Linked DNA regions of Xenopus tropicalis. The protein of the gene in region 2 interacts with the protein of the main gene of each other region in a pairwise test. Links are inferred from orthologs where the notes say so. Each region holds a gene or a part of one and is shown on either strand. Other genes may lie near its edges. The genes, in order: copz1 and copg1.

Region 1 (7,032 bases), on a different chromosome or scaffold from region 2:
ACATCATACCAACAGTAAAATATGGTGGTGGTAGTGTGATGGTCTGGGGTTGTTTTGCTGCTTCAGGACCTGGAAGGCTTGCTGTGATAGATGGAACCATGAATTCTACTGTCTACCAAAAAATCCTGAAGGAGAATGTCCGGCCATCTGTTCGTCAACTCAAGCTGAAGCGATCTTGGGTGCTGCAGCAGGACAATGACCCAAAACACACCAGCAAATCCACCTCTGAATGGCTGAAGAAAAACAAAATGAAGACTTTGGAGTGGCCTAGTCAAAGTCCTGACCTGAATCCTATTGAGATGTTGTGGCATGACCTTAAAAAGGCGGTTCATGCTAGAAAACCCTCAAATAAAGCTGAATTACAACAATTCTGCAAAGATGAGTGGGCCAAAATTCCTCCAGAGCGCTGGAAAAGACTCGTTGCAAGTTATTGCAAACGCTTGATTGCAGTTATTGCTGCTAAGGGTGGCCCAACCAGTTATTAGGTTCAGGGGGCAATTACTTTTTCACACAGGGCCATGTAGGTTTGGATTTTTTTTCTCCCTAAATAATAAAAACCCTCATTTAAAAACTGCATTTTGTGTTTACTTGTGTTATCTTTGACTAACAGTTAAATGTGTTTGATGATCAGAAACATTTTGTGTGACAAACATGCAAAAGAATAAGAAATCAGGAAGGGGGCAAATAGTTTTTCACACCACTGTATAACCTGTGCAAGGAAGTTGTATTTTATCAAATAAGAAATTGAAACAGAAGCACTATCCTACAGTTATTTCCCAAACATGCATAGTACAAATAAATACAACATTTGTTATCAGCATAGGAAATGATCTGATCAGTTCACTATAAACTGCAAACACTACATACTAATAAATAATCAGTTCATACAGGGCCTCCAAAAAAGTTGAGTTTTTTTTAATAATAATGAAGGTACTGTAGGTAAGCCAACCTACCTAGGGTAGATTCTATTATGAAAGACTGCATAGGTAAGGCATCACCTTTAATTTAGCATTTTTGCAATGCCTAGAGAAAAGATTATAATCATATGAAACCTGTTCATAGAAGAACAACTAAGAAAGGGGTGGCATATTAGCAGCATTCATATATATGTATCAATGCAATTAACAGACAGCAGGAAGAAAACTAAAATAGGTGGCTCTAATGCTATGATTCAGGAAAGGGATGGCAAAATTGTTACACCATTATTTCTGGAGTCCACTATGGCTTTTATTGTTCTGTCTAACCAAACCCCAACTCTTAGAAATGTGGAAGAATTCAAAACCTGCAAAAAGTGTTAGGATATTGACCAAGTTCAAAAGCAAATCTTACATGTGGTATATTCCTAGTGCAAAATGTGAAAATATATATATCATAATGTCCCTCTGTAAATTGTACCAGCCGGTGACAGACTTCTGAAATGGAAGGTAGAGTTGGTCCTGTGTCTGAAGGCAGTGCTGCTTGCACCTAGCACTAAGATATGTATAAAAGGGGTGGAAAATGGCCATCCCCTTATATTACTCTAATTTTACATTATTTATGGCAGTATGTATTTTATATATAGACATCTGAGTTTCCATGTCTAGGAAACCAGCTTTAGAGGGGCCATCCACAGTTTACTATGTAGATTCACCCCCCCCCCCTTTTTTGTCTTTCTTGCTTGATATCGACCAGGCAGGATCACTCAAGAGCTCCATATATGGGCCAATGAACAATTAAGTGTATTAATGATAACGTTATCTATTGTATTGAATGCCTGTGTGGCCTTCAGTAAATAGGGAAAAGGAATAGGTAGTTATTAGAATGAAAAAACTAACATACAGAAATATTAGTAAAGGTTTATAAACTAGAGTTTCCAAATCTCGAACTCAAATATCTAAATAGGGATTCAATATTGGAAAATGATTAATGTTAAAATAGGGGGCTGTGAGATATTATAAGAATAACCAGGGCTGCCATTGCTATGTGGGGAAAGTTACGCAAATTGCCTAACGTACATATAAAGTTATGGCAAAACTAAATCAATTTACGTAACTTAAACCTGCCTAGAAACTTGTGTAACTTGCATAAAAACTTGCGTACAAGCAAAAGACAATGCAGAGAAGGGAAAACTCCAGTAACCACCAATGAATGGTAAATTCTACCTCCCCCAATGAACTGACTTATTAGCACATTAATTATTCATTTTAACCATTTATATGAACTGCTTATTATAGAGTAATATCTCTGTTTTTATTTGGGATCTATTTACTGAATTCTATGAGTATTCTTTACATTAACTTTTCAGCAGTGGAATGACTGGTTATTGGGCCCCACAGCAACATCATTGGCCCCCTACGCTTATGCAAGTTACTTTGAGAAAACTTACATTTAAACTGCACTGACCCCTAATGAAAAGATTCACTTATTAGCACATTATTATTTTTACTGCTTTAAAAAAGTAAAGTAAGTAGTTTTCTCCAGAAAAGGTGGAAACCCTAACCCCTTTGCATCACCCACGTCCCCATACATATCTCTCCTTACATCCTAATTATGCTTATGTGTTTTCCTTTTTGTTTCCTCTTGTTGTTTGGGTACAAAATCCTGTATATAAGAACCAACATTGCTTCTTTGTAATCAGCTTTGGTGAAGGAACTCTTTGCTGAGATTATCATCTTAGGCAGCCAATACCCACAACACATCTACGCCACTTTTGTTATGCTTCATGTCAGAAGTTTCACACTACAACTTTTTCAACTGGCTAACATAGTGCAGAACACTGGATTGGAACCAAGAGCACTAAGCACAGTTTTTACGCAAAGTCAACCGACCTATCAATTCATTCCAATGTCCGAGCTGTAGCGTAACAGCAGGGTGGAGCTTTAAACTATTAGTGACACAGTAATTTACATCTATTTCCTCCGCCATGGTAACCATTTGCCCAATAAAAGCAGCTTCCGCTTCCAACGTAGACGCATTCGTGTTCCGCCTGTCAGTGACTGAAACCATCAACCAATTAAAAAGCTTTAGACGCTATTAGCCACACCCTTCTTCTTCCTGTTCCAATCAGACTGAGCGAGGAGGCGCGGCTAAAGTTTTGATTGGCAGATGAATTAGCCAACGCGCGCTTTGCTCCACGTCAGCAGGATAGAGAAAGATGGATGCTATACTGTTGGTGAGTGAGGCCGCGGAAATAGCTTTGATTTTAGTGTGAGGGGGCCGGTAAAACTTTATTTTTCTATGGTGGTTGCAATCGTTTGTTTAGCTGGCCAGGCTGCTGTGTAGGGACAGGGGACGAGTGGTTAGGGTCTGTCAGTGGCAGGCTTTGGGCTGTGACTCCCAGCATACGTTCAAACGCTAGGGTAGCTATTCATTTTGGGACCTGTAGGAGATATCGTGCAGCAAAGTAGTTACTTTTTGTCATTCAGGGATGTTGCACCTGAGCCTTACGCCATGGTGAGCCTGTGCCAGGGACCCCCTATTGAATGGCAGGACTGGGCAAGGGCTGCTGGCACAGAAATAATAAAAAATATCTGGTAGTGACATTTTCTGAATATAGTGTGCCAAACTCTATAGTGCTATACCCCTTCTGATATTCCTTGTGTGGGTGTGTGTTTCCTTCCTAATCTGCCTGATTTTTATGTAGAAATAGTAGTAGTAGTAATAGTAAATAGTAGTAGTAATAGTAGTAGTAGTAATAGTAGTAATAGTAAATAGTAGTAGTAGTAATAGTAGTAGTAGTAGATGATTGATTGGGCTTTTAAGGAAAAAGAAAGGTGTCTGGGCTATTCTGAAATCTCTTTGGGTTAGACTGGACAGGCCTGGCGCTTATGCATGTCAGATTGTTGCTATTAGTCTATTTGCAGTTTAACAACAGCAGTTGGGCTATGGCTGATGGTAGAAGAAATATAGAACAGTTTTAACACAATACAATATCTGTATCAGGCATTTAAACTCTTAACAATTTTTTTTTGCAGGATTTTGTTTCCCATGGGGTATTGCATATCCCAGATATAGTTTTATAGAATCTCTCTTTACAGGTTGTGATTAAAGGGTATTGTATTGGGTAAAAACAAGAAAGTTCTAGTGCATTATGCACCTCAAAATCTAGAATAAATGTGCTGAGAAGTTTTTGGCCGATTTATTGAAAATGTATCCAAAACCCTACTAGTCCTACCCATTTTTTCCACTTCCCACTGCCTTCTTTCCCAGACCTGATAGGGAACTGAAATCGTCATTTGCGTGTGTGATTGGCTATGCCCCTCCTACTGTGCTTCTGGCAGGGACCATTAGGACATACCCCCCCCCCCCCCACCACCACTTGAAACATGGACAGGCAGATCCATAGGAAGCTTTAATAAAAAGGCCATTTTGTAAAGCTAATGATTATTTTTATCTCAGAGTGAAACCTGAAACCAGCACCATATATTTCATTTATGCTATATGTCTACTTTAAACTTAGTGTTTGCCGTGTTTATCTACTTTTGAGTGACTGTTCCCCCAAATATTGACGCATGGCATGTAAGTTTCTTGAAAGAAATTCATTAGGAAGCTTTAATAAAAAGGCCATTTTTAAAGCTAATGATTATTTTTAGCCCAGAGTGAAACCAGCACCATATATTTCATTTATGATATATGTCTACTTTAAACTTAGTCTTTGCTGTGTTTATCTACTTTTGAATGACTGTTCCCCCAAATATTGACACATGGCATGTTAGTTTCTTGAAAGAGAATCATTGTATAAAGAGGTTGTTTGGGAATTGAGAAGAACAGGTAACATCTGCTAGCAGAGTCAATGACACCTTGATAGGGACTAACTCAGTAAAGAATTCATACATGCCTGAATCTATGCTCTGTTTTTATTACTATTCCATGTTTCTTCCTTTTATATATTCCCTTTAACAAGAATATCATACATTGCTGTCTTTGAACAGTAGCATAAATTATATTCTCAGTCAGCACCCTAGGCATAAACTGAACAGAACAACTAAAAACCAAATAGTTTAATACTGACAGTATCAGTTACCACTCACAAATTGGAAAGTGAACGTGTCCATCAACCACAAATAAAAGGTAGAACCAGAACAGGCATTAAGTGCTAACGCTTTCCAAACTCCAGGTATAGCACAGTAAATTGGCTCCTTTGTGTTTGGACAAACATGCAAATAATGACTTTCCTATGGTAAGTGGTAAACCATTAATTGAATTCAGGGTCATCGGTGTTTCCCAAGGGGCATCCTCGTCTGGTGGTTGAACTATAAGATGACTGAAAAGCAGGGACAACGTGCTAAATATAGTTTGTTATTGAAATATAAAATGGAATATATTGCATTTATCTAACTAAAAGCATCATGCGCATTTCTAATACAGAGAGGTAGTTTAACAGGTTTCCCCAGAAGAACAGTAGATAGTGGGTATCCAACCCCAGCTCTGATTCACACAGGGAACATTATTTGCAGTTCCCTCTCAGGTCTGTCTAGCTGCTGATTGAATGGCATCCTACAATGCAAGTGCTGAGTGCCACATAATCTCCTTCTCAACCTGGGAAAGCAGCAGCTCAATTCGGTGAATGGTGCTAGCAAGTTTTTTACATTTACGTAACTTTTTCAGCAACACCAAAGGAAACTTAAAGGTACATACATGTATTTAGAAGTGTATAATGCAATGAAAAAATGCTTCTTCTTGACACCATTTGTCCCCTTTAAGTATAATGTGAGAGGTCTGCTGGATTTCAAGCCTTTCCCAAAAAATATTGTCTACCTGGATTTAGAATTTTCAGTGTCAATTTTAACCTGGAGGATAAGCCCCAGCAAGGATTTTCCTTCTGTTACTTTTATTACAATTGAATAATCAGAGTGAATTACTAATTGATTGCTGTGGGTTACTAAGCCAAAGAAAACTTTCCTTGTAAATATTGCTTAGATCTGATCCGTTCTCAGTTATGGCACTTTTGTCACAGTGACAGTCAAACTGTGCCCCTCCTGGTGCAGTTAAACTTCTAGATATTAAGGGTATAAGGATACTGGAAGTTCAAAAGGATTTCTGTTATCTATTTTCCCTTGATATGGTCCTAGAACACTTAAATAATTTTTTATGTTTTTTGTTGGAGGGTGTTGATATTTATTTCCTGTATTAATGTATTCCTTATTAATGTGTTGGGAATCACAAACATTCTTGGGTTGGTAGGGCAATGCTGTACAGTTGAATCAGCTACAAGAAGTGCAATGCAGCATATAGAATGCATGTATCTTGGTACATGGATGGCAGAGAGGTGGAACTACATGCGAATGAGGAACAGCGTTTGAGGTGAAGTTCTGTTATACACTCCGGCTGTGAGTAAGTGGAAGTCAGTGCATCACAGAACTTTGTCTCGAGGGCTTCACTACTCCATTAAAGTGAGCTCTCTCTAGGCTAATGGACTGGCTGACAAGTGGAGCATGAAAGGTCCAAAAAGTCTCACTATACCCCACATCCTTCCTGTGGTTATTCTGTCAAATGTGGTCTTATCTCTTCCATTCCACTTTTCTCTCTTTTGTCACAAACTGTGCATTATACAAGGATAGCCTTGTGTGCAAGTACAAGATCAGCTCTGTGCCCAGAGTAATTCATTTACAAATCAGGCATTCCTCCCGGTATGAAGAACGTTCATTGTGCCTTAGGATATCAGATTGATGTCAACTAGAAATCTGGCAGCCTGAAGGGGATTTTATCTTTAGCTAGATCTACTTATTGGGGAAATATAATAAGTGGTGTTAGTGGATGGGTCATAATATATAGTGGATGAAGGGTATTGCCTCTGTTTTTTGCATTTATATGGGAAACCCATGTCACGAGAACAACCATACCAGTATTATATTCCTCTGTTTATTCTGTGACACCACAGTTTCTTTTGTAGGTGTCTGTATGATATCACAGTTATACATATAGTATGTAAGGGAGTTGCCATGTTGCTTGAAAAGGCTGTAAGTATATGCAGACATTTACTTTATTATTACTGTCCTTAACATTAAAAAAATAGTCTTTCCATATCACACAAACTGGCTTCTTCTATAAATA
Region 2 (6,967 bases):
GAAGTGTGGGCTAAAGGGTAATAATAAAGGTAAATAAAATTTGAATTTCAACATTATATATGCCAAGGCAGTTAGGGTTAACGTATTTGCTTTCATAGATATTCATGCAACTATGGCTAAATGGCTGATATAGAAATGTTTTTATATATTTATAACCTTAATAAGAGCAATGGGATTCTGGCAAAACACTGAAACTGGAAAAAGGTTAAACTGAAAAAGTCCAACGAATACTGCAATAATAGAACTTTATGACAGATCACTGAGAGAACATAAAATTTTTATGTTCTGCCTGAAACAATGACTGTGTTTGCCTTCAAGCACAGACTCAAGGTATTTCCCACTACAGACATTGAGAATATAACTGGTAAAACTTCAGTAACAAATTGGTATATGCTTTATATTCCACTAATCATATTTCTGCCTGTCCTTCCAGTTATGATAGACATAACAATCAAGAGAAAAGGTACATACATCGTTTGACTGGAACAGTTTGGTCATGGCAAAGAAAGCTTCTGTTGCTTCTGTGGCACCCATGTGCTCACCCTGGTAACAAAATACAAAGTTACTGTAGGTACTGGAAATCATGTTTGATTCTACTTATAACTCTGCATGAACATGGGGACATGCACAAAAAGGCAAGACTAAACATTATGTACCCCTTCTAATCCTGCTCAGGTTAAAGAGATGCTTATGCCAGTAACATTATCAACTTAACACTTAAGTAACATTTACTTGGTTTGTTCATTGTAATCCAAGAAACCCAAGTATCTGATTCTTGGCAGTACAGCTGCCTTAATTTCAAAGCTGGACCTGTTTAGGAGGCTTAGAACGTTGCTGAATGCTTGTGCAGGGAACATGGACAGCAACCCTATTTCCTAAGCAAAAATAAATCCTAAGCACCAAACCTGTACACCTGATGATTTAAGCTATGATTTGGAATGATGTATGGATGAAATTTTCACAAGACTAGTTCTGTAACTAGCGTGGTCATTGTAATCTTTCAGACTATGGGCTAGGCACCAAATTAGAGCTACATTTGAGTGAGAATGCTACACTGCACGCAAAGAGATGTCAAAGTAGGTGTAGACTTTCATTAATAAGGTTTTAATAGTCTAACCAGAAAATGTATCTCAGTAGTGGTAAACTGACTGTTTTGATTTGACAGTCCCACATAATGCTGTCTGAATCTGCTACAAGATGTATAGGAATTGTACATCCCCTGGGTGCTCAAATCTGTATCAAGGTAAGTGGGGTCCTTGCTACACAACTAACATACACAAATACCACCACCAGAAGGTGATGCTAAATAATAGGTGACCCTATGGTAGTTCAATAGCTCTGCAAATCAGTCATTTAGCCATCAGTAAAAAATAAATAAATACAGGAGGAAGACATACTGGACACTGTTGGTGTAAATGATGAAATAATGATGTAGTAATATGCCATTTGTATAAAAAGACCCTCTTTGGCCTGCTCTAAAGCCAACACTATGGGGCAAATTTACCAAAATGTGAATTGAGAACTAACTCACCCACGTTCTATTCGCTCTTATGGTATTTTTAAAAAATATTTATTGACAGGTGAAAGTTAGAGTTCACTATTTGATAAACATGCTTCTAAAAAATCCCATAGGAATGAACAGAACGTGGGTGAGTTTTTATATATCAAGACTCATGTACACAGAGCAAACTGTATGTTTCACGTACCTGGTTTATTAAATATAGTATCTTCGTCAAGATGTGAGCACATTTTCGAGGGTTAATTGGAGTCTCGTTGAACAGACGAGCCTATAATTCAATGTGAAGGTACAACAGAAAATTCATTACTGAAGGAATTATTTTTCTATATGCTGGATTGCAGACATGATACAACATAAATTCACAGTTGTAGACAAGCTTACACTGCTGCAAAATAAATGACAAATAAGGAGAACTAATGAAGAACTGTGGCCTGTAAGTTAGTAATTATTATAAAATTGAGGAAAATGAAAAAACTAGTTCCAGTATAGGCCACTTCAGCTGCAGAACTACAACTACCAGAAAGTCACTGCTTAATCCCCTGTAAGTGAGATGAGGGGGAGCACTTGTGCAACAGTCAACATGAAAAAGCCCTAAATTGATCTTGAGTCTATTTGGAAATAAAATGCTAGAGGGTACAGAGATGGTCATATGCCAACTTTCACATTTACTGCTGGCAAATTGAGCACCATAAATAAATACACAAAGAGTCAAGGCCTTACCTCCTGGAGCACTGCACTCTTTTCAAGGTTCTGGAAAGGGTTGGAGCTGCCCCCTGGAATAGTTAAAATAAAAACTTTTAAAACTTATGTAAATTAAATGATAACATAGGCACATTATTTAAATAAATGCAAATAATGTATTGCAAATCATGTAGTGATTTCAGGCTTTCTACACTTGGGTTGATTAGTAGGTTGGTTTTAATCCTAGCCCACAGCATGCATTAATAATGAGCAGGTCAGGAAAAGCTCCACCCTGACCCCAAGTCATAAAATACTGCCATTGTAGGACCCGCACCCAACCTGTACCAGTGTCTTTCCACTCCGTACACTACTTCTGAGTGCGCCTCTGGTTTTAAGAGAGGAACACTTCTGAAGCAGAGGAGGCCTGTACTTCCCCAGTCTGACCTGCACACAAAATTAAGTTATGTTTTAAAATCAAACTTGAAATAAATACTAGACACTATAAAAAGAAAAAAGAGCAATAAAACTGCACAGTGTATCTGGTTACAGTGTCAAAGTTAAGTGACTACCACACCACATTTTTTTAGTTGTAGGCTGGAAAGAGAAAAAAAAAACAAAAAACATACAAACACATAGATAATGAAGACCAATTGAAAAGTAAATTATACTAAGTCTACTCAGGGCCACCATGAGAGGTAATCCTATCAGGGGCCCTATGGTAGAAGGGTACCCAACATGAAGATGTGAGTCTAACATGGAGTGGGCAAGGTTTGTTCATACTATCGGTGAGGTTTTGGCATAAAGGGGTGTGGCTGATGCAGATAAGCGGCAATAAGCCCCATTCTATTTGCTGTCATGGCTCACCACCCAGAGGCCTACTTGGCAGTATGCGGCCCATTAATTACTGATGACAATATCAGGGTAGTTTCAGTAAGGTATCCACAGGCGTCATTATAGGACCTAGATCATACAAGTACTGGCTTCCAGGGCTGTGGAGTCGGTAGATAAATTCTCCGACTCCGACTCCTCAGTTTCTGATACTTCCGACTCCGACTGTTTTTAATATGCTAATGTATTTTATACATTCATTGAATGAAAGGAAGGAGACATACATGTCATTTAACCACAGAACTACTGGCTCTGCATTGGGCTTTATTCTTATAGCAGAGAAGTAATTAATTATGACTGTTTGTGAATTGGGACATTTAAACTTGCTTTTTTTTTTTTTATTCCCATTTAAATTTAGTAGGAGTCAGAGTTGGTTCATTTTTTGCCGACTCCAGGTACTCAAAATTGCCGCGGACTCCAGGTACTCAAAATTGCCTCCGACTTCAACTCCACAGCCCTGCTGGCTTCTTTGATGTACAATGGAAGAGACTTTTGTTTATTGGTTAAATAATAATATATCTAGATGCTGATGGGAGATAAAAAGCCTTAAGGAAAACTGCAACATTCTTAAATTTATAATAAAATAGTACAAATGATAAACAGCACATACAAAACTGCGGTGCAGTTGCTGATGGCAACAAACACAGAGCTCTTACATTGATGTACAAACATATGGACGGAATATCACTAAAATAACTTCAGCCTTAAGGTGCCCATACACTATAAGATCCGCTCGCTTGGCGATGTCACCAAGCGAGCGGATCTTCACCCGATATCCCCACCTACGGGTGGGCGATATCGGGTAGCAAGGGACTTGAAAAAAAAATAATCCGATTGTTCAACAATCGGATTACATTTGAGCTTATGGGGCAGTCGGTTCGGGGACCGCATCAACGAGCCGATGCGGTCCCCGATCCGACCGGATTTTCTAACCTGGCCAATCGAGATCTGGCCAATTTCAGGCCAGATATTGGTCGGCCAGGCAGCTCTGTTCTGCCCATACACGGGCCGATTAGCTGCCGAATCGGTCCAAGGGACCGATATCGGCAGCTATAGTCGGCCTGTGTATGGGCACCTTTAAAGAAGGTGCTTAATTACTCAGCCCTGGCAAATACAACATATAATACAGAGCTGAACCATACCTGCTTCTCTCTAAATGGATTAGGCCATGCCATTTTATGTTTACACCCTGCGCCCATTTTGCACGTGTGCATTCGGCATGCAAATTTTCACAAGGCATTTTTCCCACATACAGTTTTATATCTATAACCTATTGGTATCGGGGGGTTAATATGATTCAAAGCATACCCATTAACTAGCATGGGGCTGCATTTGCAAACAGATGCACCTTATGGGCAGCAGTGTAATGGACTGCCAAGAACAGAATAAGGTGGTGGCTCTAAAACACAAGGGCACGGCCAGTATTCCAGCTTTAATTTACATTGTTACTAGCACACTGGGTACAGGCTCCCCAATACTCTGAATTAAATATATAGTAACTCCTACAACATGAAGGAATGCCCTAGAACAGACATATCCAATATGGCCTTTCTTATTAAAACGACCAATCCCAGCAGGCTTTATGGGATTCCTGGTGTAGACCCGATGTATAGGTATTGTGAGAGTTATTAGAGTAACGCTAGGGCCCCGTCCAGCTGTTCTACCAGTGTAGCACACACCTGATGCCTTCCTAGGTCACAGACACGGGCTTGGATTCCACTGAACTGCACAACCCGTCCCTCTTGGGTTCTGCCTTTTGCATGGCTGCCAGTGTATCCCCACACAGAGCCAGGGGCCTGAGTACCATGCACTCCCTGCTGCCGGTGTGGGCCAGTGACAGCGTTCGCCATTTAAACAGACATATAAGGGCAATAAATAAAACGCGACACAATAGTGCAAACCCCCCATATCACTCACCCGACTCCTCATCCTTTTTATCGAACTTCTTCAGCATCTCTGCCCCTCAGTCAGAACCAGGCCACTTCCTGCCAGGCTGTCACCGGGACACGTCACTCCTGACAACGTAACCTACGCATGCGCACTAACAAGCAGTGCGATTGGCGCGGACAGAGCATGCCTAGAACGGTAAATGCTTGTTCAACGCATGCGCACTGTTAGCGGAAGCGACTGAATTGAAACCGGAACTGCTTGTGAATAGCGCACGCAATAAGGGACAAATGTACACCGGAAGTTCGAGGAAAAGTATGAGCCAGGCAAAATAGGTTTTTATTTTTGAGTTTACATCGCCTTAGAAAGTTGCTTGGAAGTCCAAGTAACTTTCTAAAACGATGTAAGCCCAAAAATAAAACTTGGCCTGTTGAAAGGAAATACAGTTCTAAGCAACTTTCTAATATGTATTCAGATTTTTAATGCTTTACAGGTAAATATAAATCACAATATTCGTACAGGGAGGCAGGATTCTTGTGTAATTGTATTATTCATTTTGACGTTTAAATAAAGGCAAATAAAAGCATTTTTATAAGTAGTACCTATGGAATGGATCTCTCCTCTTTTGACATGCACATAGAGTTGCCACTTGTTTATTGTTGACCTGCACAGTTCAGCTTTACTTAGGGCTATTTGGATCTTAACTGTCTGGGATTCAGCCTTGTGAAACCAAAACAATAATCTGGCCACTAACCACCTCTGATGTCAAGGCCTGCCCCCAAAATGTACAAATACACTTCCAAATATCACATCTGCACCCTCTTATGTCACCGCTCTGCCTCTGATGTCATCATCCCAACATTTTGTCTGTTTTTTTGCTGAGGTCAAAGGTGGCAATCCTTAATGCACACTGTGCCCCCTCAATACTGCCCTATTTGCCTTACCTGTTCCAAAATTAGCACCGCAGGTAGGGTGGGGCCCTGGCTGTCACTTTGTGCCACTGCAAGAAGGTGTCCTCCAACCCCACAGTATTGGGTAGGGTGGAGGGAGACGTCCTCCAGGGGTAGAATTAAAAAATGCTATTAGTTCTTCTTTAAGGCTGTGACAGATGGGGAGTTTAGTCGCCTGTGACAAATCTCCCTTGTCGTGGGCAACTAATCTCCCTGAAATGCCATCCCACCGGCTAGAATGTAAATCGCCAGTGGGATGGCATACGCGGCGCCGCGATTCCCCGAAATCGCAGAAGTTTCCTCTCAAGACAACTTCGGCGATTTTGGGAAATTGTGGCACCACATATGCCATTCCACTGGCGATTTACATTCTAGCCGGTGGGATGGTTTTTCGGGGAGATTAGTCGCCCATGACAAGGGAGATTTGTTGTGCAGTGACTAATCTTGCCGTCTGTTACAGCCCTTAAAGTTTTTTTTTTTTGCAAGGTTAATGATTCAGGGTAGAATTGGAGAGATCTTTGTCCAAATGGATGGAATGTTTTCAAAATGCTAGAGGTTGTCAGGTATCAAAACAAGTCTTTTGGGCCATAGGAAAACCCAGGCCCTACTGGACCTTCCTCCCCCCATTCAATGAGTTTGTGGTGCTCATGGGGCTTTCTGCTCTGGATACAGAAACAAGGAAATCAAACAGAAGCATACAGATATGTTAAAATGCATTAAGGATGGAGGGGGGGGGGGCAGGGAATAAAGCTACTGGTTGGAATGTGTCTCATTCTTATTTTACACGTCACATAGCACCACATCCAGTTAATCATCTGAAGAATCAACCACACAATTAATGCTATATACATATAGAAATCAATAGGATGAAGTATGAGATTACCATTTCCAAAGCCATGCGAATGCTGGCTGGACCATATGATTGATATGAAATTAAAGTGGCAGAAGAATGCCAAACAAGGTTATTGCAATTGTCACTGTTTTATTTAAGGATAAATTCTCAAACATATTTAAAAGGTTAATTTCAATATAAAGAAACAAA

Evidence for each region.
Region 1: the proteins of copg1 (region 2) and copz1 interact in a two-hybrid assay, tested with the Homo sapiens proteins (2 studies listed by BioGRID). The link is inferred for Xenopus tropicalis from reciprocal best matches to the Homo sapiens genes COPG1 and COPZ1.

What each region holds. Positions count from the first base shown.
Region 1 is NC_030678.2:145,582,898-145,589,929, reverse strand, and holds the start of copz1 (coatomer subunit zeta-1), read left to right. Parts: upstream 1-3,045; 5' UTR 3,046-3,133; coding exon 3,134-3,151; intron 3,152-6,264; exon of another isoform or gene 6,265-6,920; coding exon of another isoform or gene 6,921-6,938; intron 6,939-7,032. UniProt on the Homo sapiens protein: The coatomer is a cytosolic protein complex that binds to dilysine motifs and reversibly associates with Golgi non-clathrin-coated vesicles, which further mediate biosynthetic protein transport from the ER, via the Golgi up to the trans Golgi network.
Region 2 is NC_030680.2:135,686,179-135,693,145, forward strand, and holds the start of copg1 (coatomer subunit gamma-1), read right to left. Parts: upstream 5,140-6,967; 5' UTR 5,043-5,139; coding exon 5,006-5,042; intron 2,293-5,005; coding exon 2,240-2,292; intron 1,788-2,239; coding exon 1,707-1,787; intron 544-1,706; coding exon 472-543; intron 11-471; coding exon 1-10. UniProt on the Homo sapiens protein: The coatomer is a cytosolic protein complex that binds to dilysine motifs and reversibly associates with Golgi non-clathrin-coated vesicles, which further mediate biosynthetic protein transport from the ER, via the Golgi up to the trans Golgi network.